4 linked regions of the Alligator mississippiensis genome follow. The protein of the gene in region 2 interacts with the protein of the main gene of each other region in a pairwise test. Links are inferred from orthologs where the notes say so. Each region holds a gene or a part of one and is shown on either strand. Other genes may lie near its edges. The genes, in order: USP13, TRIM63, GMEB1 and MYBPC3.

Region 1 (6,862 bases), on a different chromosome or scaffold from region 2:
ATCTCATTGACTTTATTGAGGGTTATGGTCCTAAATCATTTTGGGTGCTTTTGAAGAATCCCGCCCCGATGGTTTTTACTCTTACGCTGGGTTTTGAAGCAACACATGCTGAAGGACCCAAATGGGCAAATATTAAAACTAAGGGTATTCCCTATGATGGATAGGTTATTCAGCTTTTATTAATGCAAAAAGGAAGATGCTAGTAGCATATGAAAAGGGAGAAGCTTCCAACTTCTACTGAACTGTCTGTGGACTAAGGAGAGAAAAGTAGGAAGCTAGTTGATGGAGGTTTCCATAAAAGCTTTAACGATGGCTGAAGAACAAGCGGCAAGGTCCAGGGAACTGTACTGATACACAACAGTTAATAGTTCAAACTCGGGCCCAGTGGACTTGACATTGATCCACTCTTACTAAGGGAAGCGGTGTGCCCAAATTTGAACACAGCTGAAAATGAGACCTAGGAATCCCTTGTTCTATTAACAAGAATTGTGCAAGATAATGAGCTACCTATGCAGCATCTCGTATTTTAAAAACCTAATTGATAATTCAAATGTGCAACACTGTTGGATGCTTGATTAGGCAAGCTTCTAAATTAATTTTTTAAACATCTGTTTTAAAAAAAGCATTCAGGAATATTTCTGATTGTTCCCCATGTGCTAAATTAGCCCAAACAAGAGCATAATACATGCAGTGTTGTTTTACTCTACATACCCAAAAAACAGCAAGTCAAATCTGGGTATTTATGGATTAAAATATTCAGCATATTGGATCCCTGAAGAACATAACTAATTATTTTAATTAAAAATGTAAACATTTACGAAGCAATAAAAGCTTTATACTTTTCGTCTAGTTTGCCTAAAAGTAATTGGGGAACACTTTGTGGCATGTAAAAGCAGACTGTAATCCAAAATTACATTTAGGTCTTATTCAAGCAACCATCTAATGAGAAAATTCAATAAGTGAATATAGATTATGCCTTAACTAAAGGTTAAATAAGTTCATATCTAAAACTGAAGCATGGAGTTTCCTGTTACAATGCTGATAATAAGGGTGGGTGTTGTGCGATTAGTTTGTTTCTTTTCTTTTTTTACCGAACATCAAAGGGCAGATTTGAGTGATGTTAAAGAGGGAAATGTTCTTCAGCAAAGATAATTTTAAATAGGTCAGAATTTGTAAGAGCTGGGCATAAGGACAATTCTTTTTTTGTGCTCAGATGGCAGGGTGATAAAAATTATTATAGATAATCCAATAATGTCTCAGATATGCTAGCGGCTGTATTGTGTGTCAACCTTTCTGTGTTAGTGCCCAGTGCAATGATGGATGGTCATCACTCCATCCTTCTGATGTGACACCCTAGGGCAACAATCGCTGTTTTAAATTGTAAAAATATACTCTGGCACCGTAAGGGCACACGTGCTTGCACCATCTTACATTTTCAGAATTGTACAGAGGCGCAGATGCACTGCACAAGTTTAAATGACTGTAAAGTGTACTTACTGTTAAGCGGCTTTTTTTTTTTTTAGCCTGGCAGGCATTATTCTTCCCGCTAGGGGGTAGCATTTCCTCAGGGTCTGATCGCTACACATTGAATCTAGATTACTGACCGGTGGGTTTCTGATCCTTTTTTACCAACAGAAGTAGAAGTGACCCTCTTTCATTCCCTTTTCATGATAATAACCTTCTTTCTTCCATGCTTCATAGACTATTTCAAATAAGTACAACCTCGTTTGTTTTTTCTGTTGCAGCCAAATGCTGTAAAGCCCACTAAAACCAACGGGGTCTTTAGAGCAAGCTCTTTGTGATCTGCCAGTTATCTTCCTGCAGGTTAAGTGGCTTCTGTTCATATCATTCCATTATGCTGTGTTATTAGCAAGAGAGGAGTTATGTGCTCATGAGCCTTTCCAGTTTGAAAGAAATCCCTCTATCGGAACCCTCGACTCTTTCTCCAATACCTAACAGATCCTTTGCTACCAGGACAGATGCTGCTCTCGGGTAAGTCCTGAGCAGTGGTCTCCACTGGCTCACAGAGAAGATGTTACTTGCACCCATAGGAAGTTGAAAAGTTTAAAGTTAACAGCAGGAGCAACATGCAACATGCTGCTTGCTCAGTGTTGTTGCCAATGAGCAAGCAAGGTAGGGGATCACTGGTCCAGAGTAATTCTACTGAGTTTATACAATGCCCTCAGGATTTAACACACAATTTCCAATGCTACAAGGGCTAACTTTCTTAAAAGGCTATAAATTAAGCATTTCACCCTAAGCGCTGCTTCCACACGAAGCATTTCACAGTTCTGTTTCTTCATCCCTTGATGTAAACACTTTGCTTGCACTTTAAGGGCCTCAGTGTAAACTGTATGTAACAGCAGCAGGAGTCACGTAATGGTCTATCCATCGTGTATCTTTGTAGACCAGAGCAGAAAGAAGTGACTCGTGTCAAATTGTAAAAATCCCTGAAATAATTAGATACATTTTTCAGATTTTTTTTTCAATTTGTCACTAGTCACTTCTTTCCACTCCTGTTATTATCTTCAGAGTCCCCCTATCCTTTAGCCCATCAACATCCCTTCCAACATGAGAAGAACATAAATGAACCAGAGAAAAGGAAATATGGTTTTGGACTAGACCACTACCCTGTGACTCAGGAAGTCTGGGTTCATACCCTAGCAGTGCCGCAGGCTTCCTGCATGTCCTCTGTCGGGTCATCCAACACCTGCCGCAGTTTGACCATGATATAGCTTGGAGTCTATTCAACAAATAGATTATAATAATACCTTAGACCAGTGGTTCTCGGTTTTTTTCGACTCAAAGCACTCCTCAGAAAACAGTAACTCTTATTTTTCTCTCAAATTTTTTCCTACAGAAACCCCCCCCCAGCAATTCTCCTGTTGCAAATAACTCGTAAAGGCCACAACAAGTAGGAATGTTTTTAACACTCCAGATTCCTAGTTGAAATCTCTGGCTTTATCTCGTGAAACGTGGTTTTCACACCTAACAGCACTAACATTGCGTGGCAGCCCCGGAGCACCCTTGAAAGGGTCTTGGGGCACCCCAGGGTGCCATGGCATCCTGCGTGAGAACCACTGCCTTAGGAAATCTCTGCAGTTGAGCACAGTCCCGAGACAACGAGTTGGTTGTAAAACAGTGTCCAAGATCCAGGAGGGGTGCGGGGGGGGGAGAAATCTTTATTCTGGGTCTTGTGATTTGGCCGAAATTCCCCCAGGCGAGATCTGATGCGGCGGCGCGCGCTGCGAAGCCCTCTAAAGCCGAGAAGGGGTCTCATCACGATCCGCCTGCGATCCTGCGGGTTCAACGGCCTCCGCTCAGATCATTTCAGCGGTACATGGATCATTTCAATACGCGGACGCGGAGGGTGCATGGATCTGGCTGCAGGGAAAGTTCATTTTAGGACGCGGGCGGCGCAGCTAAGAACAGCTTTCGGAGCCTGGCCACAAGAGCATTTCCACCTCTTTTGAGTCGGTGTGCTAAAAGGGATCGCCTTGACCCTGGTCTGCCCTTTTCCCCTGGCCCGGGCAGAGGTGGGATTGTCCCCTAGTTTTGGGGGGAGACAACGGCACCCCAGGAGCCACCCAGGCCAGAGATGCCTCTCCCCCGGGGCAAAGGGGAGCAAGCCCTCTCCCCCTTCCTGCCCGAGCCCGCAGGAGCTGCGGCCTAGAGCCGGGCGCGGGGCTGGACACAGGCGGGCGGTGCTCGGCGCTGCAGCGGGCGGGGCACGGAATCGGGTGTCACTCCGGCTTGGCCCGGCGGGCACCTCCCCGCCCCCGGCCCGGCAGCTGGTGCGGCTCCTGCTGCCATTGGATTAAAAATAGCAGCCGCCCTCGCGGCCCCCCTTCCCCCGCCCGGCCCGGCTCGGCTCGGCTCGGCGCGGCGCGGCGCGGGCTGCGGGCGCGGGCGCGGGGCCGGGCGGGAGCATGCAGCGCGCCGCGCTCCTGGGCGGCGGGCGGGATGCGCAGATGGCGGCGGCGGACCTGGGCGAGATGCTGGTGCCCTACATGCCCACGATCCGCGTGCCCAAGGCCGGCGACCGCGTCTACAAGGCGGAGTGCGCCTTCTCCTACGACTCGCCCGTGAGTGCGACCCCCCTCCCTTCGCCGCAGGGCAAGCCAGGGCTCCTCCGCTCCTAGGGGCATTGCAAAGGGCAAGTGGGGGGATCCCCCGCTCGCTGCCCCCCCTTCACAGCTGGCACTAGGCCTTGGGTTTCCCAGGCTGGGGGTTGGTTTGATTTTGCAGGCTCCGGGCGGCGGTGGACTAGTGCCCCCCGGTTCTTCTCTCCTCCTTGTCCTCCCCGAGCAAGCGAAGCCACCGAGCGGGCGCCGGTGTGGCGGTTTTTGGAGGGGGCTCGGGGCAGTTTGCCAGGGGCCCTCGGCTCTGCGCGTCGCTGCTGGGTTTTTGCGTTCCTGCAGAGCTGGCGACGGGCAGCGAGCGTCCCCATTCATGTATTTTGTGTCAGCGGGATGCTCCGTAGTGTGGCCTTCGGTGTAAATGTCCGGTCACTTAAAAAACCCCCGGCCCTACCTGAGATTTACCTCTTCCGTTTTGTACAGGGGCATCGCTATAACCCGCAGGAGAGTCGCATTTTTTATCCCTTTTTTGTGTAGTTGGCTGTCAGGTCTCTGCTTGGTGTGTGCGGCCTCCGATGCTATCACATGTTCGTTGGGCCCTGATATTGCAATTGGATCCATGTAGAGACTTGCGCCCATGTAAAACAACATACTTCTTTGGGTTCGGTTGCAGGATCTGGGGTCTTGGCTATTCTCTTCATTGCTTATAAACATCAACAGTGAGGCATCAAATCCTTCCACTTAGATGATAGGTAAGGGAAGTGAAAGGCTGTTTTAAATCCACTGAAGTTGAATGTGCTTCTAATATAGTTTTCCATAAGTAAGGTGAGTACTGTGCATTGACATCAAGTTAAAGTGTCATTTCATAGACATTAGGGCTGGAAGGGACTTCGGAAGATCATCGAGTCCAGCCCCCTGCCCAATATGCCAGAGAGAAATCAAAAAGAAGCACAACATCTGTAATCCTGAGTTTTCAGATGTTTGCGCGATTCTGATTTTTAACTCAATTCGTATTTTTTTTTTTTGCTTTGATATTTCACTTTAATTTGGGGAATCCAAATGGGTTTCAGAGGTGACTCAGCTGTCTGGTGTTCATCATGTCTTGTTGAGGACAGGTTATTTTTACCCATACACTTGAGATCTCAAGTGTCACCAGCAGCCCTCTCTGCTTTGGGATGTCGAAAAAGGCCAGATCAGATGCTACAACAAAGAAATGAATTATTACATATTTAATGGGAGTGGAGGGAACAGAAATCAATGTGATGCAGTGTTCCCTTGCTACTTTTCTGTTTGATCTAGCATGTAATTAATGGATCTAGTAACCTGTCAAGACCTCCGAGACATTGTGGTAAAAAGTTTGTGTTAACTGACAGGCAAAGCTGCTAAATTACGAATGAAATGGAAAAAAAGAGATCAGGTGACTGAATATTAACAGAAAAACATATGTAAGTGGAATATAGAGGTATAGTTTCCGAGTGCCCAAGTCCTCTTGCGTTCAGTGGGAGCCACTAGGCCAATGCTTAGACCAATCTTACATTGTGCCATGATAAGACTCCTTCTTCATACAAGTTTGTAAATACAGAGTGGCCAAATGCTGAAGTTGCTTGTACCCATGCAGCTGCAGTGAGAGCCCAATTGGGCTTAGTATCTGTTGTCCAGTGCCAGTCCTCAGTGCCTTTGGGCAGAAGATTTATTCCAGTGTCCTCTCTTGTATTGGAGGGTTGGGTGATTAGGACAGTGCTCACTGGTATTATTTCTAAACCTAGCTCTGACTCTAGTCATCAAACCTGTTTGAGCTAACGCACCCCGTAAAGCCATGTACACATTTGAAAACGACAACACTTCATTGCTTTCTCCACAATGTAAATGTGTGAGCTAAGTGTACACGTGTGTCATAGTTAATGGAAGATGTTTCCCGCACCATACTTCATATTAAATTGGTTTGGTAACGTGTTCTTGCAGGTTGGCACACATGAACGACTGTGTATTGGGTTTTGCCTGGGCCAGTGGTTCTCAGCCCTTTTAAATTCAGGGCGCCCCTTCAGAAGGTTTCTGAATTTAGTGGCACCACCGTTAAAAGCCACCGTTGTGCTGCCTCAGTTTACCTTGGTGGTTCTCATTGGGGTGCTGCTGCTGCCAGCTGAAGGCTCCCCTTATGTGGAGCATAACCCCTGGCTGGGAAGCAGCAGTAACAGGACCTCAGCGCTTCTGCCTACCCTAGGTTTATCTGATAAGCTTATCTGAGTTGAGCGGAGACAGTGCAACAATAGCGTTTCTCAACCAGGATGCTGCTCAGTTTATCCTAGGTTCAGCTAATAAGCCTGATGCGGACAGGAGGGCCTGCTCCTGCCATCGCCACTCCTCGGTCCAGCTCTGCTTTCTGCATGAGGTGTGTGGCACCGTTGAAAGGATCTTGCGATACCCCGGGGAGCTGCAGCATTGGGCTAGATGTCTATTCTGTCTTTGGAAGAGGAAGGTAGATTTGATTCTGGAGCATTAAAACAAATGAGAACCCTTACCAAAATACCCTCTTGGGTTTCTTATCTGGTGGTTTGCTGGTTGCATTTTCAACCTGGGAAGTAACTATTTCCCCCCATAATTTACAACCTTACATAATATTTCCTTATACCCTCTTGTCCTCCTTGTTTGACACCTAGTACTGCATTTGTCACTATAACACAAGTCCCTGCAGATTTGTTTAAAACCAGCTGCTTTGCCAGTGTTTTATTCTGGCCCTTGAATGGCAAATTTTATTTTTATAGTAGATCTCATTAACACCATAG
Region 2 (7,448 bases):
GCAGACATGTCCTGGTCTAGATCTAGGCTGGTTCTTGCTCTGCCTGAGCTGGGCATCACATCTCCCTAGTCTGAGATCCTGTCCCAGCCCAGGCCGGAAGGGAGGAAGAAAGCAGCTTGGCCAAGAAACAGCCCTTTCTGACGGCTGAGCCTGGGCCCTCTCTTCCTCCGGACAGGGGGCACGGCTGCAGGTCCGGTCCCCTCTCCAGGACGCAGTCTGGAAGGCCGCGTGGGTGGCGATCTGCATTCCCTGGATGGAGCTACCCCCACGCTCTTAGGAGAAAGCAGGACGGTCCGGCTGAGACAGCGAGTCTCTTGTACCGCAGGTTTATGTGCTAAACCCCGAGGAACCGCTGTCGGGCAGCGTCCGTGCTTGGTGGGGCTGAGAGAAGAGGAGAGCATGTGCTGTAGTGGGGGCATCTTCAATCCCGCGCTAAACTGTGCTCTGCACAGCTTTCTGTACGCCATCCTGCCGCAGGGGGTGAACGAAACCGGAAGAACACCAGACCAGCGAGCCCAAGGCCCGGTCTCCGACAGTGGCAGATAACAGATGCTTTAAAAGAAGAGTTTATGAACCAGGGTAGAATGATTCACCCCGTCCTACCCTCCCAGCCCCAGAAGTGTACTGGCTCTCTGGCCCTTGGGCTTCATAGCCCCTGACAGATCCATCCTCCAGCGTCAGTCTGAGCTCAGTTCTGACCTGGCTGGTGATACCGTTGGCTTCCCCCAGATCTTGCGGCAACGCTTCCCCCAGCTTCTTCATGCCTTGTGTAAGAAAGTGCTTCCCAGCGTTTGTTTTAAACCTGCTGCCTGGTTCGCTGTGGGTTGTATGCTTGATAATGGAGGCCACCGTATGGTGGCGAGTTACCTAAGAAACCATTTAAAAGTTTAAGTGGATACTATAATTAGCGTTTAACCAATTGTAATGGATTGCTCGCGAGTAGTTCAGCTATAACCCTTTCTACTGATGAGCTTAATGCCAGTCTGTAATGCATACAATCCGTAGTGCTAGCACACTTCTAACATCTAGTACACCTTTATAAACTATACGCTTATCCTTACTATCAAGACAACACACTGCAAATGCTTCAGATATTTGACCAACAGGTGTTAAGTGAAGAACGTGCATAAATCTTTACAGGACTGGAGCTATCCACTGTTCCTTGTTACCGTAGTAAATAGAAGTAGATGATAAGTGATGATCTTCCCATAAGATTGAATTATAAATGGATGATGTCTCTTTAGCCGGGTCAAATTCCTTGAGTGAAGTTGCAGTGACATCTAGCGGCTAATTGAGCCCTTAATGGGGTCCCTAAATTACCCAAAAGATCTGGCTGCTGTTGGGGGGGGGGGAACAGCTCAATCAGTTCAGTTTCATGCTTGGTCCCTGGGAGTTATGCAGTAGTTCTGGATACGGGAATTAGCCAAGGGCCTGCCACGTATCGAGGCAGTCTCAGGGGAGGCGGCTTCTACTTGCTTTGACTTCAAATAGACCCATCTTTTTTGTAAAGACATTTTTTAGTGTTCCAAGCCAAATCAGCCAAATCAATTCCAAATCCGTGAGTCAGTCAAGGACCATAAGTGGCCCTACTACCGGCAAACATCTTCCACCCCACCAGGGGCTGCAGATGTTTCCAAATCCTTTGGTGGGTATCCTACGCGTAGGCCCACGCCCGGAGGCTTGGGGTTCAGATGCCCTCGAGTTTCGCTTGCCCTCAACCGTACAGCCGCAGGAACAAGCTAGGGAGGAGTCTTCCATTTCCATAAAGTGGGCATTCAAATAGACCATGGGTGACTGGTGCCGCCTTAGTCTGGAGGGGCATGTGCCCCCCCTGCAACCAGTCTTGATGCCTGGGGGAGGGTCCCCTGCAGTCAATCGCAGCTACTTCCAGGGGTGGCCGTGGCCGCTTCTAGGAGCGGCTGCAGCAATCAGCCAGCACTTGTAGAGGGGGCACCGGCATTCCTGCCTGCCCCCCACCCATCACCTAAGTGGCAAGCGTGACCGATCAGGGGGTGCACTGGCATTCTCAGGGGGCTCGCATGCACCCCCGTGCACATCACCATTGAAATAAACCCATCTCTTTTGTCATTTGTGTAAGCGTGGTAGGAAAACTCAGGCTGGGAAGAACATAACAGACCACAGCCCAAGCAGCAAGCCCCCACCGCCCATCAGGTGACTGAGCTGAAAATCCCAAGCCTTGCTCAGGATGGGTCCATGGGACAAGCAGATGGGCTGAGCAGAAAAGCAGGCCCTGATTCTGTCCTCTTCACTTCGACAGAACGGGGATGAGAGCAGTCTTTATCCTGCAGGGCTTTGGCTTAAAATATACTTATTGCAGGGCATTAGCATCATCATTACTACACCATAATTTGCATGTATGTGCAAGCACGTGCTTGGGATCTGCCGACGCCTTCCCAGCTTTTTGGCTCCTGGGTCATTGGTTTATTTAGCTGCTGGGGTGGGCTGTGATTAAGCCACAGCTTTTCTTTTCAGGCTGGCATAGGGAGATGTGCCAGGCCCGCGAGTCCTCAGTTAAGGGCATGGGGCTGAGAATAGTCACAGCAGCTATCCTCTGGCCGGGGGTAAATAATCTGGGATTGGGGCACTAGAGGTCGTGTTGTGGTGTCTGGGCTACAGCACAGATTGGCAAGCGCTTCTGGAGGCAGGACAGAGACAGACCGTCTCTGGGGTCCTGCCAGAAATCAGGCCCAGTGGGAGCGCTCTATTCGGTGCAGAGCTTCAGTCTAGCAGGGATGATGCCTGGCACTGCCAGGCTGGCCTGAAACCTGTCACTGAGACCGTAACGAATATTTTGGTCTGTGCAAGGGACAGCACCAGCGTCTCTGGACACAGACCCTCTGTTGGCTGATGGAGCGGATCCAGGTGGGCACTGGCAGTACCAGTGCAGGGCTTCTTCGCTGTGTGCTGCACAAACCCTTCTGTCTTGATAGCAGACCTGGGAGAGGATTCATGGCCCATTCACTCCTATCCTGGGTCTGACTCCAGTGACATGGATACCTGTTACTTGGGAAATGCAATGAGCCCTGCATGGACCCATGAACCAGGACTGACAGCTGCTCTGAGCTGGGCTGCATTTGATCTTGCAACGGAGGTGAAGGCTTCCCTGGCCAATCTCTGGAGCCATGTGAAACTCTGGAAGAAAAACAGATCTTGCAGGTGATTTTCCCAGTGACTGCATCAAGTGAGAATCCATGGGGTGAGGCCTTCCACCACATCCAGCCGTCTGCCCTGCTTTACACAGATACCCACGTGGTTTAATAAGGGGAAACCTTCACCCTGGATAATTAATTTAAAGTGTCTGTTTGCTCAATCCTTTTTTCCCCCCATGGATCCAAATCAAATGCAGCCAGCCAGCATGAGTCTAGCCTCAGGCCTCTCTTCTGAACCAGTTCAGCTGCAAGAAGAGTGGCTCAATACAGGAATTACTCAGGCCTGTGTTAGGTGGAAGTTCATATTAGATGCTCACAGTGGTCTGTGCCTTGTAACCTTACAGTGTCTGGCTCCCTGAGAGGCAGGGGCTCTGGATCTGTACCTACACTGTGGGTGGGACCTGGCATCCCAAAGAAAGCTAAAAGCATGGGCTTGAAATCTAGCTGTAGACCCGAGCCTTTGGCTTTAGGTCATTATGAAAAGCACTCCAATGCACTTTGAGTTGGAGGTGGGGAGCCCAGCTTTATACCTCTGCAAGCAATTCCAGACCCACAGCAAGAAAATGAGCTTGACTGATTTATGCTGTAGCAGGGCCAGGGAGACGGAGGTGATGAGCTCCTCCCCGAATTGCTCCCCCTCCTGTTACAGGTAGGGGACAGGTGGATACAGACTGGCCCTTGAGGTCCAAGTTCTCTCTGTACGCTTCCTGCAGTAAAAAAACCAGAGCCCCAAGGTTCAGGACTTTGATCCTGTGCTTGGTCGGCTCCCTGGCTGTTCGTTTCTAGCTCCCCGCTTTTTCCCCAGGTGGGTTCAGACTGTCCTTCGCTGTGCTCAGGTTCTGAATTGGCGCTGGCAGGGCGGCAGCGCCTTACAGTGGCCAGCAGGGACGCCCTGCTACACAGTCCGTGCTGCCAGCTGTTTGAAAATTGATATGAAATGATTTGCTTTGGCACAAGCTAATAAAAGGGGAAAGCAGTGGGAGGGGAGGAGAAACACCGTGGATCTCTGCTCCCATTCTGGAAGCCTGGGCAGTCGGAGATTCATTCAACTCCCTTGGCTCCCCTGTTGAGCCAGTGCCTCTGATAAAGGCCCAGGAGCTTGATAGGAAAAGCTCCAGTGCTCCCATCCTCCGGCTAATACATGGATCCTTGGATTCTGCTTTCCAGCCTGCGGTTTCTCTCTCTTCCCCGCTGCGAGCGGGTTCGTGCAGAGGTGGAGCTGTGTGAAACTGGATCGGGGATGGGTCTGGTGTGTGGGCTGCAGGCGATGAGCGGTGCTAGCATTATTTAATGCAGATTTGCTTGGATAAAAAGCCCAGGGTGGCAGGGCTGAGTCGTCAGAGATTCGTTCTGAACCTATTCAGCCATTTAGTTCATTTTAGGTTTCCTCTCCTTGATGGAAGGTTGTTATTAATTTCAGGCTGGATTAATCAACTCCCTTCAGATCTCACCCAGATTAATTGATCGTCTGTCCAGCACTGATTAGCACATCCTATAGACTTGACTAATCTAGCCAGAGCTAATTAGTGACACAACTAGTCTCTTCCAGGCAGCCAGCCTGAAGCTGATTAGTATTGCCCAAGCCAGAGCAGCCCATCCAGCCTTCTTAATCAGTTTTATCCACAATTAGTTAACCAATTTCACACTAGACTAGTCCTTCAGACTCGCTCCATTTCCAAGGCAGCTACTGCATATTACCTTCATTTACTTGGGTCTAAACTGCCTGATCTAGAACTAATGAGTTTAGCTACCAGCAGGATTCACTGATTAGGATTCAGCTGTGTCAGATGGGTCACTTCAGGTTGCAGCAGGTAGGTGTTGTGATGAGATGCTTTTAAGGGAGGAAAGAATAGCATTCTCATGCAGAAAACACGAGATCTAGGTATTTCCCCTGCATTCATGTTATTCCTTAATATGAGTTTCCTTAACTCCTTCTCTGTTTGTTGCTTCATGGAGCTGGATCAGGAGGTTTCGTGAGTATAAGCAGCAGCTCAGAGGCCTGGCAGGAAGAGCTGACCTGGGCAGTTTCTCTGGGCTGGGCACTGGGCTTTAATGCCCTCCATATAGAGCTGCTGATGAGTCAGGAGTGACAGACAGCGGCTGATGGCTGGGAAGTGCAAATTCTCTCAGGCAAAGCCTGCAGTGTGAGGAGGGGTGGGAGCCTGCCAGCCAGTGCCTATAAGTCCTCAGAGGTAGGTCAGGCAGCGAAGCTTCTTGAAGGAGATGGGCCCTCTGCTTTGCGTGCGAAGGGAGAGCCCTGCATGCAGCCTTGCGTTGCAATGCACAGTGCCCCCCACGGCACCCTCAGCAAGCCCCTGGCTGGAAAGGGAGCAGGTGGTGGCTGAAGTGCAGTGGTGTAGGGGTGCAGGGCAGGGCTGGATGGGCACTGGGGAGGATGGACTGGTGGACAAAGGGCCTTGACCTTCATGTGCAGCAGACACAGGCTGCTTGAGTCCCCCAGCTGTGCCCTGTGCTCCTGGCAGCAGCCCACATGCTGAGGGCCCCTGAGTTGCATTTCAGTTTCCAGCACTTCAGCGTGGCCTGATCCTGCAGCAAAACCTCTCCGAGGTGGCACCTCTCCCAAGCATGGTGTCCATGCCTCTCACTGCCACTGGATTGCCAGGGCGGGCTTGGATCCTGGCTGCCTGTCGAAATAGTGGAGCAGCTGGGGGAACTGGCCTCTGCTTCAGCTCGGTGCGATGTTGGTCAGACTACTTCATGGTTTTATGCTGGGCTGTCCAAGCACTTGGAGATGCCCAGGTAGTAGGTGCTGCAGAAGGGGGAAGCACCAGCCTTAATGGCAGCCACTTCAGCATGGAAATGCATTCTGCTAACATGTTTGATGCTCGTGCTCACCATGTGGCTTCACCCTTTTCCCTGACATCCTCATGCTAGGCTGCTTTGGCAAGCTTCGCCTGGCCTACAGCTGGCTCCCCAGCTCCTCAGGGGCTGATACCAAATCCAGAAACTGCTTCATGCATGGCTGAGATTTCAGCCTTTCCCCAAAGCTTTCCCTTCCAAGCAGCTATCATCTAGGTCAGTGCTTCCCAACCTCTCTAGGCCCCAGCCCACCCTACTTGGAAAATGCTAGCTCTTGGCTTTCGCTCCATTTTTGACTACAGCAAAATACTAGAGCAATTCTGTTGCAAAGATCTCCGATCGCAATGGGGCAGGGTGATTGTGACCCTCTGGAGAGCCCTGGGGCTGTCGTGTGAACCCCGTGTAGGTGACTGCACACCCAACAGTGCTTATCATGTCGAGCCCTGGGGCACCCTCAAAAGGATCTCGGGGGTACCCGGGTTGAGAATCGCTGGTTTAGGAGCAGCCTGAAGGTGAGACCCTGACACAGGCCCCCAAAGAAGAAGGGACTGTACTGCAACACGTTTGCTGGGCTGGTGTTTTTTGAAGGGGAGGCAGAGAAGACATAAACCACAGGTCCCGACTCACACTTTGAAATGTGAGCGGTTGCCAGCCTAGAAACAGCTCTAAATAACAGCTGTGCCGTGCCTAGCTGGCCACAGAGACCTGTTACTTAACTCTCCTGCAATAAAAGACAACAAACAACAGGCCGTGTCCTGGCTCTGGGACCCACGCGGCCCCAATGCACATGATGAAGCTGGCAGGGCTCTCCGATCCCAGGAGATCACAAGGATCAGGGGATCAAGTGTGGCCTTGTTCCTGGAAGCAATGGAGCAAGGAACAGCACCAAATGCTTCTGGGCTTTTAGACTGCAGGACTTGACACGATCGGGGACTGAAGTGGAGGAAGTTCGGGGTCAGGGTGGCTTCTTCCTTTTTCCCCATCCTCCTCCCTGGCTCTGCCGCTGACCAGCTGAACCATTGCTCCGCTCCTCAGCAGAGCCGTCCATGAAGCAGGCAGTGAATAGTCCTTGCCTGGTCATGCTGCAGTGGTCCCTGGCACTTCCCCAGTCACAGAACTGCTGCGTCCTGGGGCTAGGAGCAAAACTTCTTGCCCCAGATAGCTTCGATCAGCAAGAAATAGTTCATCTGCAGGGAGTTATACTCGCTGCTGCAGGAGCCGAGTGCATTCAGGCCTGCAGTGCTGAGGGCAGCATGGATGCCTTTTGTGCCTGGAAAGCAGCTTTCCAGCAAGCCAGGAGGAGCATCTATGCAAGGGGCAGCTCAGACCTCTGCTGCAGAGGGTATGGCCTGTATGAGCAGAGATGCTGACAGCTGCTGGCGCTCACCTGGAGAGCCTTGGATGCAGGGATCTAGTCTGCCCAGGCCCTTCTGAAAGTGCCCCACCTGCCTCTCTGGG
Region 3 (7,370 bases), about 6.8 Mb from region 2:
ACTGCTCTGTGCTGTACACAGCTGTAAGAACCGAGAGAGTCACAGGATCCAGTCCTGTGTGTCCTTGTCTAGCTTGTAATTCATAAACATGCTACCACCAAGCCTCTGGCAAAAGCAGCATCCGAAACAATCGAGTTAGACTTGAGGATACTTGTCTAATAAAAGGTATAATTTCTGAACCAAGAGTTTTGCACACAATGTATGGGAAGTCACCCCTTTGTATCCTAGCCTGGGCACATTACTGCGCACATCGCACGCTCCACCAGGAACGGACAAAACTCCTGGTGGAGGCAGGAGGAGCGCTTTTGAGAAACAGCTCCATCAAGCCACCTCGCCCTCCGTGTTCATCTCTAATGACACGGTCACACGCGCGCAGGTCTCCGAAGCAAGTGCTGCTACCCCACCCCAGGCATTTGTCTCGGCTCCCTGACTTCTCTAGGGCAAAGCACCCTTGGGTTGCCAAAAGGCCTCGCGCGAGCCATGGCACGAGAAACGCCGCTGGGAGAAGGCGGCCGCCCAGGACAGCACAGCATAGCCGGCTCCTCCGCACCCACCTGCGCCCCTGCCCGGGACAGCTCCCCTTGGCCCGCCCGCCCCCGGGGAGACCGACTCGGGACCAGGGCTGGGACTTACCTGCCTGCCCCCTGGCCAGGGGCCCCAACAGCTGGAACAGCTGCAGCAGCAGCAGAGGCGCCCGCAGCCGGGAGCGCATCGCCGCCGCCCCGGGAGGCTCCGGCCCCGCAGCTCTGCAGCCCCGGGCGCCGCGGCCAGGCTGGGAACCGCGCTGCCGTCCCACCCCCGTCCCCGCCTATCGGCGGGAGGCGCCGACCCTTCCCCCGCCACTGGCCCCGGGACCTGCCAGTCACCGGGCGGAGAGGCTGCCCCGCGTGCGGGGCCGGGGCAGGTGCGGGCGAGGGGCAGCGCTGGAAGAGGACCTGGGGCTGCGGTTTCAACTAGAAGCCTCCCACACCGACACCGCCTCCTAGGGCATCCCCAAGGGCTGAGGATGGCAGGGATGCCACCCAAGGGATGGAGGAAAGGGGCATCAGGAGCTACTGAGCGCGGGGGAGAGGGGCAGGCATCTGAATCAGAATCTTTTTTTTTTTGGTAATGAACATTGTTCACGTTCCAAGTCAAGTTAGCCAAATCCATTCCAAATCCGTGACTCAGTCGAGAACCGTGAGTGGCCCTACTACCCGCAGACATCCTCCACCCCCCCTGGGGCTTCAGATGTTTCCAAGTCCTTTGGCGGGCATCCTACGTGCAGGCCCAGGCCGGGAGGCTTGGGGGCTCCCGAGTTTTGCTTGAGCTTAGCCATAAGGTGCCAGGAGCAAGCCAGGGAGGTGTCTCCCATTTCCATCAAGTTGGCATAAAGCTAAGGTTAACTATACACCACTACCCCCATGCCAGCAGAGCAGTTTTCCCTGGGTGTGCTTACAGAAAACCACCTTGGTGGTCACGGTGTTTTCCCTGCCAAGTAAGAACTTCCCTAGACCGTCAGTGCTGGAGGCTGCAAGTGAGAGAGGAGCAGTGGGGAAAAGCCAGACCCAGTTGGCTCTCCCTTTCAGCCGCTGCTGTCTGCCCCTATGTGGCACAGGAGACTGGGCAAAGCAGACTGGATCTGATGCAGTCAGTGGTAACTGTTCTGTTATGCTCTCTTGCCCAACCACCTTTGGGAAGGCACCGGGATCCAAGTCCAAATTTTGCAACCGAAGCCTATGCCTCCACCAAGAAAGCAATGGTGCCTTTCCATCCCAGTACACACCTCATCGAGACGTCTGCAGCCTGCAAAGAGCATTGGCAACACACAGATACAGTGCTTTAGTGAAAGAGGGATAAAAGACACACTGTGGAAGTCTGAGGGGGCCAGGGCCTGAAGCATGTGATTGGGAACTGGGAAGCTCTGGCCACATCCACACAAGCAGCAGATTGTGTGGATGCATAAGCAAGTACTACATCTACTGTGCAGTGACAGGCATTACTGCACAGTACCATCGCCACATTGCTTTTTTTCAGATGCTACTGCACAGTAGCAATGAGCTTGTAACTACTGCACAACATCATCGCCACACAGTTAGTGCCTGCCAACACTACTGCATGGTAGCTCATTGCTACCATGCAGTAGCGTCTCGTGCAGATGTACTGAGTCCTAATCCTGATTCTAGCACTGCCTTCTATTGTGTGGCACTGCTTTTGCATGGCCCTGCTATTGGGAACTCAGTGTGAGACATCTGAAACCCGAATTTTAAAGCTTCTGAGCATACACAAGCCTTTGAAAGTAAATGGAAGCAGTGAGGGCACCACATTGCTGAAAGTCAAGGTACCCAAAAATTGGAACTACTCAAAATTTGTGACCAAATAACTTGCCTGAAATGGCCCACAAGAGTCTGCAGCACAGCTAGATACACAGCCTAGCTTTTTGTCAGATGGGAGTAGGGAAGGGTTCAGTGGCACACGGGCCTAGCTCATTCTTGAAGGATCATAGTGATGACTGCCCCTTGCAGATTGTCTGTGCAAAAGAAGAGATTCCCTACTGATTTGTGTCCCCTTCACATAAAAAAGCTTGAGTCAGGGTTTATTTGCTTATTCCAGTAACACTTCAGCTATCAAAGGAATCCTAGGTCCTCTTTCTAGAGCCACCTCTGATCAGTTATGGGTAAAGTTCACATTGCCCTCATATACCCAAGGCAGGTATGCAGGGCCAGCACGGATACATGGATTGCACTAGTCAGGGTGGTGGCTCTCTGCCTGTGCATCTGCCTGCATTCTGTCCCCTGTGCGCCTCCAATGCACGGTGTAAGTGTGGCACCGATCCTCTGCACCAGCACCAATTTCTTCTACTGTTTCTCATGCTAATATCTCTTTCTCTCTTCCGTGATAGAAGCAGAGTAAAATTTAAACCAGAAAAAATGTCCAGAATCTGGCACCTTTTTAAAAAAGATCAAAAACTGGGAAATCAAAATTTCACCCTCCCCTGCTCCCACCCCCTCGTATTCAGTATTTAGTGCTTCACATCTATTGAAACAGCAGCTCCCAGGTTCACTAGCTATCGGCTGCAAAATTCTCTACTTGGATAGATTTTGTTTGTATTAATATATTTTGTGTTCCAGGTCAAATCAGCCAGAATCAGTTCCAAGTCATATCAACTGAGCAGAACTCAACTCTGCTTGGACAGAGGCTTGGCCTGGCACCAGGATCATCACACCAACAGGCCTAGCCCTTGGCGCCATCGTGTGCTCACGGGCAGTACAACAACATGGATCTATATTTTCAGGAAAAGCCTTGACTGGTTTCTGGGGTGTAGGTTGTAGCCGTGTTAGTCTAAGGACAGAAGCAGACAAAGTTCTTTGGGTAAATCCTGTATCTTGTATTAGACCAACTAAAAAAGTTGGAAACATTCATTTTAGCAAGCTTTCAGGCACAAACACCCTCCGTCAGGCTGAGGAAGCGTCTGCAGATGGTCTGCTCTCTTCCTGGATGGAGGGGCAAAGCAGCCAGAGGCCAGTCCATGTGCACTGGTTTCTGCCACTTTCCGCAGCCCTGGGACCAAATGTGTTGCCTGACTTTTAATCCACGTAACCCAGCTGCCAAAATGAAGCGAGGCAGCACAAAAGAAAAGGAGAAAGCCTTTTTTATAAGGGCAGGAACTGGTCTCACTGTCCAAACGGCGAGAGGAGCGGTTAGGCGTGTTAGTTTGCACCAAGCCAGGGCAGGGCGGCATCGTCCAGACTATTCAGGTCCCTTCCATCCCTAACTTCATAGGAGTCTATGTAAGGTATAAGCTTTTGTAGACGCGGGCCTACTTCATCAGATGCCAGGAACGTCCCCGTTGTGCATGCCCTGGGGCTACCGCCACCCATCCCGGAGGCAGTAGCCGCCTTGCTGGAGGGCAAACCGGGCGACCGCCCAGGGCCCCACACTTTAGGGGGCTCCAAAATTTTGCAATATTTTTTTTATTTTTGGGAGGGGCGGAGGGAGTTACTAAAAACGTTGTTCTTTCTTCAACTTGTGAATAAGTTTCCTGCACAGGGCAAAGTAAAATTGAAATAAAAAATGGTGTGAGGCAGGGGATCCATGGTATGAAACGCGCATCTTGCTCCAGTTGAGCAGCAATCAAACGCTTTCCTGCTGTGCCTGGGGCCTAGCACATGCCATCCAGCTGCGGAGGGAAGCCAAAACCCGGGGGACCGCAGCGGCAGAGCGCAGCAAGGGGTGGCACAGCAGGCGGGAGGAGAGCCCCACGGTGGGGTGCAGACCCTCGTGCCACCCCGGCCGCTAGATGGCAGCACTGAGCACCCAGCCCGGGCGGGCAGGAGCCCCTGCTCCGCGGCCCCTTTAAGGCAGGCGGCGGCCGGAAGTGCTGGCGGGAGAGCTGTCGCGGCTGCTGCGCATGCTCACTCTTCCCCTCCCCCAGCCCCGGACTCGGGCGTTCGGAGACGGTAAGAGACGGAGGCTGCCGCGCTACGGGAGCCGGGAGGGGCCAGGCCCGGACGCGGAGCTTGCGGGGGGGGTGGTCCGGCCGCAGGGGGAGGGGGCGCCCCAGAGCGCGTCGCCGCGTACGTGCCGCCGCCGGGAGAGCGGACGTCGCGCCGCTGCGGGGGGGGAAGAGGAGGAGGAGGAGGGGGGGGGCTGAGTCGACTGCGTCCGCCCGCCCGCCTAGCGCGAGGGGGAGGGGCGGGAGCAGGGAGGCCACGCCTCTCCCTCCGGGGAGCCCCTCCCATTGGCTGCTGCGCGCCGCGGGGGGGCGGCGTCCCCCATTCCCTCGGCGCCCCGCCCCCAATGCCTGCTGGGGGTGCCATGAGGGGCAGCGGGGCCTTGCCGAAGCCCGCAGGTCACCAGCCTGGGCACGGGCTGGGTGCAGGAGCCGGGCAGAGCACAGAGGTGCTGGGCTGGGGGGCGCCCAGACCACAGAGGAGAAGCAAAGGGTTGCTAACACCAGGGGAACGAGCCACCGACTCCCTCGGCACGGGGATGAGTGTAGGAGCACGTCCGTCAGGTGTGGGATGGAGGAAGGGTCCAGCCCCCTGTCGCCCCCACCGCAGGGAGTCCAAGGGATGCCGTCCCCAGCGGAGTTAGGGGAAGGCGAACGTGGCGGGTTTGCGCGTGGAGAGGTGCAGGTGCACGAGGCGTTTTCACTTCTGCGCAGCGAGGCGGGAGAGCAGCTCGTGAGACGATGGGAGCGGGTTCTGCTGAGTTTCGTCAGCCGGCCCGAAAAGCTTCCGAACGTGGCGATCGGGAGAGTACGGACTCGGACGTGCCGTAGGTGAACCGAGCCGTCGCATCCCCCTGGGACCGAATCTGCGTGTGTTGCGGTCACATAAAAATCCCTGTCTTCGGATGATGCTGATCCTCAGGCTCTTACGGTGCTGAGCAGGGATTGCAGGTGTACTTCTGCCAGTTGCCAAAGCAAGTGAATTCGGATGCATTGGGAAACCTTACCCAAGATGTGTCCTCAAAAGGATGGCTCTTCCTGGTTGTGTCTGATCCTAGGGCAGGGGTGGCCAGTCTGCAGCTCCAGAGCCACCTGCGGCTCTTCAGAAGTTAGTATGTGTCTCCTCGAATCTTTGCACAGGCGTGCGGTGACCAGCTCCCAGAGCCGTCACGTCACGTCACGTCGTGCGCTTATGCAAAGATTTAAGGAGCCGCCTGTGGCTCCGGAGCCGCAGGTTGGCCACCCCTGTCCTAGAGACTTTGATAAACCATAAAGCTGGAATTCCCTCATACAAGATCTTTCAGGCTTCATCTCCCCTAGATACATATAAGACCAACCGAGACAACAAAAAGCTTGACAGCAAAAGAGGACCAACCTGGGGCTGATTAAATTTTTTTTTTAATTTGTATCCAAGGCCAAATTACCCAAAAACTAATTCCAAATCCAAGAGTCCAGAACCATAAGTGGCCCTACTACCAGCAAACATCCTCCACCCACAACTGGGGCTTCAGATGTTTCCAAAACCTTTGGCAGGCATCCTACTTGCAGGCCCAAGCCCAGAGGCTTGCGGTTCAGATGTCCCCAAGTTTTGCTTGCCCTCAGCCATAAGGCCCTCACAGCTGGGGCTGATTAGATACTGATGCATTTTTGAGCAGGTCTGTGTTGAGCATCTTGACGGGCCCCACCATGGTGGGCCACTAGTTGGTGGCCACCTGCAGATTTGTAGTCGGGTTATATTGATCCAAAGACACTGTATCAATTTGAAATGACTAATCTGGTTTTTTGAAGCAGGGGTGTATGTTTTTTCAGTTGTGCATTACATTTGGGCCTAAATGGATTTGGCTTAGTCTTGGCTTACTCTCTCCTAGCAAGAAATGCCGCAGCTGGAGATCTGTCACGGAAAAAACCCTGCCTCCAGCAATCCATTAATGTCAGCATGGGTCTCTCCAGCTGCATCGTTCCTGGGGAGAGTTAATGATGTAGAGGCCTTTGTGGAAGCTGTTCCATGTGTCAGTGCTTGCAAAGGAGAAGACTCTTAGGTCATGCATGATAAGACTGTAGAAGACCAGGGGGAAAGCCAACCAGACTGGGACAAATTTGTGGAAGATTGAATTAAAGCCTGGACCACGATATACACATGATGTAATTTGTTTTCCTCTCTCCATAATTGTTCAAGGCAAGGACAATGAAACAAAATCAGTTCGTTTGCTAATCAAATTATGTTTATATTTTTCTGTGTGAGCCCTGGAGAAAATTCCAGTCAAGCGCAGCCAATACCAAAGGTGTTTTCAGCAAAACACTTTCCTTTATCAGTTTTTTCTATGAAGGCCTATGCTACTACTTACATGCAGCAGAAATGGTCTGGGCCAAGTATTTTACTGATAGGAAAAGACAATATCATCAGAATACCTGTTAGGAATCTTGCAACTAGGGGAAAATAAAGTGACGTCATCTTAAAACCCACTCTCTCTGCACTCCTGCATCTGTCGCCAAAACTCAACCTGTGTACACTAACTCTGACCTAGCTGGCAAGTTTTTTGCAATGATTGGTCCAGAAACCAGACACTACAGGCAGTTTCATTTTGTGTTTCATCTGCGGTATGTATGGTTCAGTGTGTTTTACTGTATCTTTGTGATTCCAGATTAAACATTCCCAAAACTTGATTGGTAAGATGGAAGTTGTTCTCTGCAGTCTGCTTATTTCCTTCAGCAAAAGCCCAATATCCCTACTCTTCCTGTGGTAACTAGTTCTTCCCTTCATTCACCTTCAGATTGAGACTGTGCCTCTCAGCTTGTGCTAGTCTAGTCACATGTTAATAGCTTCGGGATGATTGGCAATAAACCCAGAAATTGTTGCTCTTTCATTCTGGCACCTGAGATGGTACAAACAGCAAGTTTGGAGGTTTTAGTTCTTTTCTGGTGCTGTCTCAGACCTGAG
Region 4 (7,594 bases), on a different chromosome or scaffold from region 2:
TGTATCAAAATGCCCTGAAGTATTGAAACACAATGAAATGGAGAACTGGCAGCACTATTATTTCTTGAGACTGCAGGGATTCTTTTCAGGAATTATCTGACAGATTTGGATTAGGTTTTCTATAAATGAATTAGGCATTGGACCTTTCCTTTTCCCCTTCCCCTCCCCTCCCATCCCCCTTCTGCCCTGGGATTAATCACAGTTTTTGTACCGTCTCTGTCTAAGCCAATGATTCTCAACCAGGGTGCTGCAGGGTGTCACTGTTAGATGTACAAATGCCTATATGATTCACAAGATAAACCCAAGATTTCAAATAAAACTATGGTGTCAAAAATATTTTGACCTGCTGTGTTCTTTTAGAATTCTTTCCAACAGAAGAATTGCTCTATTTTTTTTCCATAGTCAAAAAATAAGTTAATGCCAGTAGATATTAGGCAGCATTTTCTGAGGGGTGCCTTGAATCTAACAGGGTGTGCCTTGAGTCTAAAAAGGTTTAGAACCACTGGCCAGAGATAAGAGCCACACAGAGTTACAGCCATGAAATAGCTCAGAGAGTCAAATAAGATTGGAAATAATGTGTGTGTTCTTCTTCCACATTAAGTGGCAGAGCTGGGTAGCCTTACAGCAAGACAGAGGGTCAAGTGTCTCCTACCTCAGAACATTAATCCATATACAGGATTTAGTGATTATGGTGAAAAGTACTTTAAAATTCAGAAATGGATTTGCTCAGCCAAAGGCATGATGAAGTCTGATAATTCTGAAGCTATGCAACCTCGGAGAGGAGACTATGGCAAGTATTGCTTGTCATCATGTTTCTCTTTCTCATTATTGCCTATTCTAAGCATTTGGAAAGCATAAGGCAGGTATCAAAAAGATTTGACATTGCCTAAAAATCATAAGATTTTTAAAATAATAAAATTGGGGAGTATTTTTATCTTTTGGTTTTCTTGAGACTTTAGGATTTATATTTTTAAGCTTGTCTCTTCAGCCCTGAGGGCTGGAAATGTGCTTATTTTGTAAAAGAGAGCCAGAATTTCATGGTCACCTGACTCCAGTCATTTGACTTTCAAGAAAAACACCAAATACTTTACAACATGATAAAATTGCAAGAGTTGGCAACAGTGCTTTCCTTTCAGAGACATAGTGAAAGAGGAACTTAGAAAATCTCATTTAAGTAATCCAGTAGTTAAGTGTTTTGCAGTTCTGTAGAGCAAACCTAGGTTTGAGTCATATCCTGCCTTCTGCAGTAGCTAATACCAAGTATTCCAACCAAAAGTGAAAGCCCTTCTTAAATCATTCAGTATCCATTATTCAGTGTCAACCATGTTAGAGGAATGTCAGATCACAAGGAATCTGGTGGAACCCACAAGAAGCATACTTCCTCCATGAAGAAGACGACCAGGGGCCTTGCTTAAGTTCACATAGGATGTCAGTGGCAAGGCAGGGCAGGGAATGGAATCAGGGTCCCTCAGGTTTCAGGCTAGGACCTCTAACAATGGGCCATCCTTCCTTTCACCTTCTTAATAAAGGTAAGCAATTTGGCAACTGTGGGCATGATGGAAAAAAATCCTCCCTAGCTATTATAACAGCAGATGTATGCCAATTCAGGGCTTTATTAAAGGGTACCAAGGCATACAGCATCTGAGAAACACCAGTCACATGCTACTGACCCCCTGTGAAGTGCTTGTTTTTAAACAGTATCTAACATGCACACTCCAGCACAAACACACCTGTGGAGCGCATCAAGGGACCATACTCAAGGGTCAGGAACACTGGATTTATACCAATGTCGCTGAGATGAGACTAGCTCTAAAAGTCAAGGTGCACTCTCAGCCTTAGTACTATTTTCTGCTGCATGTTCCCAGTACACAATTTGCAAACAGATACAACTTTAACTTTTAATACCTATTTTTCTAAATTTAATTATGAACTCAGAGTTTTCAAATATCCCTCTTTCTCTCCCCTCTCATAGACAGCAACCTTCACTTACCTCTATCTTTTATGGGTCTCCTCTTCCTTGCACAGACAGATTCCCTGCAATTTCCACCTCCTTCCCATACCACCTATCACTCTCTTCCTCCATGCATAGACAGGTGGCCTGTGACTAACTGCTTGGTTCTCAGGAATGTCCTAAATCTCATCTCAGTTCCCTTCCACATGTTTCACTCTGGGGGGGAGGGGAGGGGGAGGTTGAACTCCCTCCTTAATTGTGGTAGAGTCTGTTTTGACCTTGGTTTTTGTAGATGACTAGTTATCTGCAGGTTCAGAGGTAGAGGAGGTCAAGAAGGGAGTATGTATAAAATCTACAGCATACCCTCTATTTCTTCAGAGCTGGGGTGTACTTACTTGCCAGAATTACACAACTGAGTCTCTGAGAGACAGTAAATATTAATCAGATGCTTTGAAGCTTCTCTTCACAGTGGAAATTTCGCACCCAAAAATTTTACTGGAAAATACCCAGAAAAAGGACTGGGAGTTACTTCTACTCCCCAGAAAATTCCCGGGAGAGAGAATGCACATTTTTACTGGCGAAGTTGCCTAGTAGAGAAACTGAGCGGTGATAAGATTTTGAGAACAAAATAATTTAATTTTTGTTCTTTCCCTTTACTCAAAGCCTCTGGAATGAATTCTGTACCATAGGTTTTCAGAGACAATAATTACTCATTTTCCTGGGGTAGAATCTAGCTCTTTTTTTTAGATTAACTTTACAAGGTACTTTCTCCTTATTATTTTCCCCCAAATACTTTGTCGCTGGCTAAAAATATCTGTTATTTGTTTTTTCAATTACAATGGAGCTAAGCTGTCTCACTTCTGTAGTACAAGGAGATCGTCTCTGCTTGGAAATCACTCTTTCAGTCAGACTGTGCTCCACCTCTTTTTGCCTCTTAGTTGTGGTCCTTACCTGCTTTCTTCGAAGGCTCTGGCATCTTGAACTTTTGTCTCTTGAAGCTCCCAGTAGTGCCTAGAAACCAAGATGCGTGCTAAACTGGAATGAGACTGAAAGACTTTTGAGACCCCACTAAAGAAATCCTGCTCCTCCCCCTTGACCCCTCACTCTTGTCATCAATTGCACCTTATCAAGAGCAGGGCACACTTGACAGCATGTTTCAGCCAGGATAAATATAGCCAAGTTCCAGGAACCAGAGAGCTCAAACCACCCAGGACTGGTTGCTGGTGCAAACTCCAAACCCAAGACTGATGCTGCACATACATACATGTATTCTAGTCTTTAGGCCATTTTTGTAATTATTGTGTAGTTTTTTTAAAATGATCCTTTCCTACATTTAGCTCTTGTCAGTAGTTGTGTCAGTCCTGAACCATCCTTCAAGCCAGAGTTTAATGGTTGATTATTCTCAGGTGTGAAATGCTGGGTCACTAGATCTGATTCTGGACTTTCAAGGGGAAACCAGTTACTCCACCCTGTTTTAAAGTTTTGACTTTCCTCTCAAGCCTACTTTTTAAATAGTTTCTGCTATATAAGTATCTTTGGAGATGAAAATCTTATTTCCCCCCAAGTCTCATATAAAAACGTAGCATGAGCGAGCAAGACATATACTCGAGATCACATTTTGCTGAACACTGTATAGAAGTTCTTGGGAATCCTCCCCAGAAAGCTTGGGACTGCACTTCGTGCTCCAAGCATTGCTGTTTGTTTATGTGTTTTTTTGGCACAAGTAAAAGTAACGACCATGCAAAATAACTTTGATGACTTTGCTTTTATGGTTTTCCTGGCCTTGTTGTCTACTTTTCTCATTTTACTTGTGGGCTTTTTGGAGCAGAACCTGTTTGTGCACAGGATCCAGCACATTATAGAATAGAAATAATAAAAATTGAAATGGCAAAAAATGATTTTTTGTTATTATTTTGATTGTTCCCACTTGCATAGGCCTCAATTTTCAAAGGACTTCTGCTGTAGACTTCTGAGAGGAAGCTCTGGTTAGTCTGTTGCCTTCTTGGTCCACCATGTAGATAGAATACTGATGACAAGTAGTGTTAAGTGGGTGTATTTAGTAGCCATGTTGGTCTGAGACAAATTTTAGCCGATTTTGGATTTAAACTTCATTGCTGAACAACAAGAAAGATTCTACACCTCTCAGCCCTTCTGCCATCTGACACCACCAGGGAAGGAATCCTGCCTTATCTACACATCAAAGAGCAACTCCCAAAGGCACTCTCTTTGACCCAGAGGAACAGACTTCCACCTTCAGCTTCCTCTGTGCAAAAGGGGACCAAGTGCTTGCACTGGCCAGGCCAGAAGGTGGGGGCACTTCCTCATGCCTCCTAGCGTACAGGACATTGCCAAGGGCAGCCTAGCCCAGCTAAGTGGGGCCATCCCTGATTGGCTGTCAGATACATGCCCCCAACCCCCTGCTGTCACCACAGACCCTCTGGTGCACCCAACCCTAGGCTCCCAGCACTGGTTGCCATGGCAGCCCCAGAGGGGGGCAGGCGGGGAGGATGGAGCCCTCTGCCCCTGCCCCCCACCAGCTGGGATTTACACAGCCTGGGGGCTCCCTGCAGTGGGGGCTTCTCCCCCTACATATCCTGGCCCACTGCCTCATCCCAGCCCTGCCCCCATGCCAGACCTGGTCTCTCAGTTTTGGACCTGGGGCAGAGGACTCTGTTCCCAAATGACAAATTTGGGTTGATTTGCATGTGAGATGATTGATTTAGGGACTCAGTCACACACAAAAGGCTGCATCCTTGTCAAATGCAAAATATGGGGGCACTGTAAGATGGCCACACAATTTTAACCTGGAAAGAACAATATACGTTTCCTTAGTCTTTTCTTGGAAGTGGCTGAACTGCTGTAGCTAAGTTTTGACCCCTTCTTCCCTTCCCTTCCCTTCCCCTGCACTGCCCCCCCGCCCCCCCACCATCCTAAAAAAAAAAAGTAGCCTGAGGAAGATAGTTGGCATGTAAGAATTCTGCCTAAATGATTACATTTTGGCAAAGCTACAAGCAACTGGGCGCATCTACACATGTAATTAATGCGGAGCAATAAACTCTGGCACTTATTGCAGCAGGGTTTATTGCTCCTGGGCATGCCATTTACATGTGTACCCAGAAGCACAGCATGTTCAGCCAGGTCAGAGTAGCCTTGACTGGCAGGGGGTCCTGGGGATCAGCCTGCCAGCCTGGGACTGCTCTGACCCAGCGCAATGCACTGCAGAGGGGCTGGCTGGGGCATGAGGGTGCTCCAGTGTGGGGCTAGCTGGTAGGCAGCCCCTGCACTGAAGCACCCTTGTGCCTCAGCCAGCTCCATCCCCATCTCCATGTGTAGTGCTGCAGAGTAAAAAAAAGTCTACGTCAGGAATTGTGGAATAATTGTGAAGTTAATTAGTTTCCTCTACACTGCATGTGTAGATGTGAGATGTTTACTGCAGAGGCAACTAGAGTAAATGTCTCCTGTAGACATGCCCACTGAAAACAAGAATTGTTCTCAAGTTTTCGATTGGCAATGCTACCAATGCAGGTTACTACCAACTCTTTCTATAAATAATAAATCCTAAGGTTTCAGAGCAAAAGTCAAGTACTGTTTAGTGTTAGGACAAGACATCACACAAACTGTTATTGCAAAAATTTTAATATAATTTTGTTGTAAAGTATCTGGCATAAACATGGTCTACTAATCTAAACTGATTTAGGAATCCTGTGAGTGAAAAGAGGGGACTTGCCATTCCCTTTTATTCATTGCTCTGGAAGATTTCTGATTAGATTAATTACATTTTGCCTCCCTAAATCCTTGCTTTACTTTCATGTGAACAGCAGGATTCTTCCTTCATTGGTTTCTTCCTATAGGGTATTTATACACATGCATAAGCCTCAGTGGCGCATGCTTTGAAAAGTACACAACGCTGTGGTGCATGCAGTTGTATAACCCGTTAACGGTGCATGCCCATCAACGCTGAGAAAATGGTGGTGGTGCGCTTTTGCACTAAGACGCATCGGAGGTGCTTTGGTTCAAAAGTGAACCACCATCATTTTCTGTGCATGGATGCACATTTCACCACTTACACAAATGCACACACCACAGCACAGTGCGTGTCAGCTTGCATGCAGAGCAGACTCAATTAATTGAATCTGCTCTGACCCACTGGATCTCCGGTGGGTCCCTGCACAAAAATGTACGCGTATAAATTTTCTAGCACTGCTGTTCCGTATTAATAGCTATTGAAAACCAGGCTAGAAATGTCTCTATTTGCATGACAAGTGAAACAATCCTTATAATACAGTTAATTCACAAACCACTTTTGGTATTAAAGGCACTTTATAATTATAAATAAACGTAAGGCAATATACAACATTCTAGAAAAAATGTATAATTATTATCACTGCAATGCTGCCACCTGGTAGCCAGCAGTGTAATAGCAGGGAAAATATTAATTGGTATCAGCAAGTTTTTCCCCTGGCTTGAAGAAAGAAATATGCCAAGGAACATATTCCTTTCCAAATGTGGAATGCAATTATTTCCACGTATCAGGTCAGTCATTCTTGTGACTGTATTTGACAATGGTGATGGGATCAATTGATACTTTTCACTGTCAAGCTTAATTCTAAATCTGGGACACAATGTGGAAAAACAACCTGTGAAGTTTCTATATAGCAAAATATTTAAATTAAGTAGATGCCTAATTTTAAGCATATGAGTAGTCACAATGAAGTCTGTTTTAAGTTAGATATCCACTTAACTACTTACTGAATTAGGGCTTAATGAAGTGAATGGAATGGATTCAATAAAGCTCTGAGCACGAGAGCCAAACAATAACATTGCACTGTCCAAGCCTATTAAAGGATTCTCTACACAAGAGGATAAACTATTCACAACAACTGAAAATGATAAACCAGATAAAATGAGGAATGGTTATTGAAAAAGAGAAATATCTGGAGCTAGAGGTGTACCAATACATTGGTCCTATATCAGATCAGGACCAATATAGGGAAAATTGAAAGCATCGGAAATTGGCTTTTTTTGCCTGATGCAGCCGATAAAGTGGCTGATAAATGCCCCATGCACGTGCACAGCTGCGGCATTCATGGGGTCAGAAGCGCAGCCCAGCAGCTTGGAGACCAGCATCTGGCTGGTAAGCCTGGGGTGGAGGAAGGGGTGGGGGGAGGGAAGGGGCATGGAGGGGGGCAGATTGAGGCCCTTGGGGTGCGGGAGGGAGTGGGACTGGGGCAGGTGCTGCTCAGGCAGGGTAGGGAATGGGACGGAGCCATGAGCAGCTCCTCCGGGGGTTGCAGGGGGGATGGGGGGCAGCTTCCGCCACTGCACCCCCCCAGGAGGGCATGCAGGACCATAGATCTGCGCAGGGCAGGGTGAGGCAGGCTGCCACTGTGGGCTGAGTCCAGAGGTTGTGCCGGGCTCTTCCTGGCAAGGGCTGGGTTAAACTGCACTGCACTCCAGGCAGGCGGTGGCAGTACTGAGAGGGAGTGTTGGCAGGACTATGGCAAATTTTGGCGTGGATGCAGTCCCTGTCCCCTCCACATAGCCCTGCTCCCAACGCTCCCTGAGAGCAGTGCAGCCTGGCCCAGCCTTTGCCAGGAAGAGCCCAGCACAGCCCCTGCCCCAGCCCCTGCCCCAGCCCCAGCC

Evidence for each region.
Region 1: the proteins of TRIM63 (region 2) and USP13 interact in a two-hybrid assay, tested with the Homo sapiens proteins (2 studies listed by BioGRID and IntAct). The link is inferred for Alligator mississippiensis from reciprocal best matches to the Homo sapiens genes TRIM63 and USP13.
Region 3: the proteins of TRIM63 (region 2) and GMEB1 interact in a two-hybrid assay, tested with the Homo sapiens proteins (2 studies listed by BioGRID and IntAct). The link is inferred for Alligator mississippiensis from reciprocal best matches to the Homo sapiens genes TRIM63 and GMEB1.
Region 4: the proteins of TRIM63 (region 2) and MYBPC3 interact in a two-hybrid assay, tested with the Homo sapiens proteins (2 studies listed by BioGRID and IntAct). The link is inferred for Alligator mississippiensis from reciprocal best matches to the Homo sapiens genes TRIM63 and MYBPC3.

What each region holds. Positions count from the first base shown.
Region 1 is NC_081830.1:80,510,032-80,516,893, forward strand, and holds the start of USP13 (ubiquitin carboxyl-terminal hydrolase 13), read left to right. Parts: upstream 1-3,841; 5' UTR 3,842-3,929; coding exon 3,930-4,085; intron 4,086-6,862. UniProt on the Homo sapiens protein: Deubiquitinase that mediates deubiquitination of target proteins such as BECN1, MITF, SKP2 and USP10 and is involved in various processes such as autophagy, endoplasmic reticulum-associated degradation (ERAD), cell cycle progression or DNA damage response.
Region 2 is NC_081829.1:3,277,107-3,284,554, forward strand, and holds the start of TRIM63 (E3 ubiquitin-protein ligase TRIM63), read left to right. Parts: upstream 1-4,438; 5' UTR 4,439-7,448. UniProt on the Homo sapiens protein: E3 ubiquitin ligase. Mediates the ubiquitination and subsequent proteasomal degradation of CKM, GMEB1 and HIBADH.
Region 3 is NC_081829.1:10,106,591-10,113,960, reverse strand, and holds the start of GMEB1 (glucocorticoid modulatory element-binding protein 1), read left to right. Parts: upstream 1-4,350; 5' UTR 4,351-4,439; intron 4,440-4,702; exon of another isoform or gene 4,703-7,030; intron 7,031-7,370. Other genes in the region: discoidin, CUB and LCCL domain-containing protein 1-like, read right to left, coding at 634-712. UniProt on the Homo sapiens protein: Trans-acting factor that binds to glucocorticoid modulatory elements (GME) present in the TAT (tyrosine aminotransferase) promoter and increases sensitivity to low concentrations of glucocorticoids. Also binds to the transferrin receptor promoter.
Region 4 is NC_081825.1:228,230,840-228,238,433, forward strand, and holds the start of MYBPC3 (myosin-binding protein C, cardiac-type), read right to left. Parts: upstream 3,001-7,594; 5' UTR 2,928-3,000; coding exon 2,903-2,927; intron 1-2,902. UniProt on the Homo sapiens protein: Thick filament-associated protein located in the crossbridge region of vertebrate striated muscle a bands. In vitro it binds MHC, F-actin and native thin filaments, and modifies the activity of actin-activated myosin ATPase.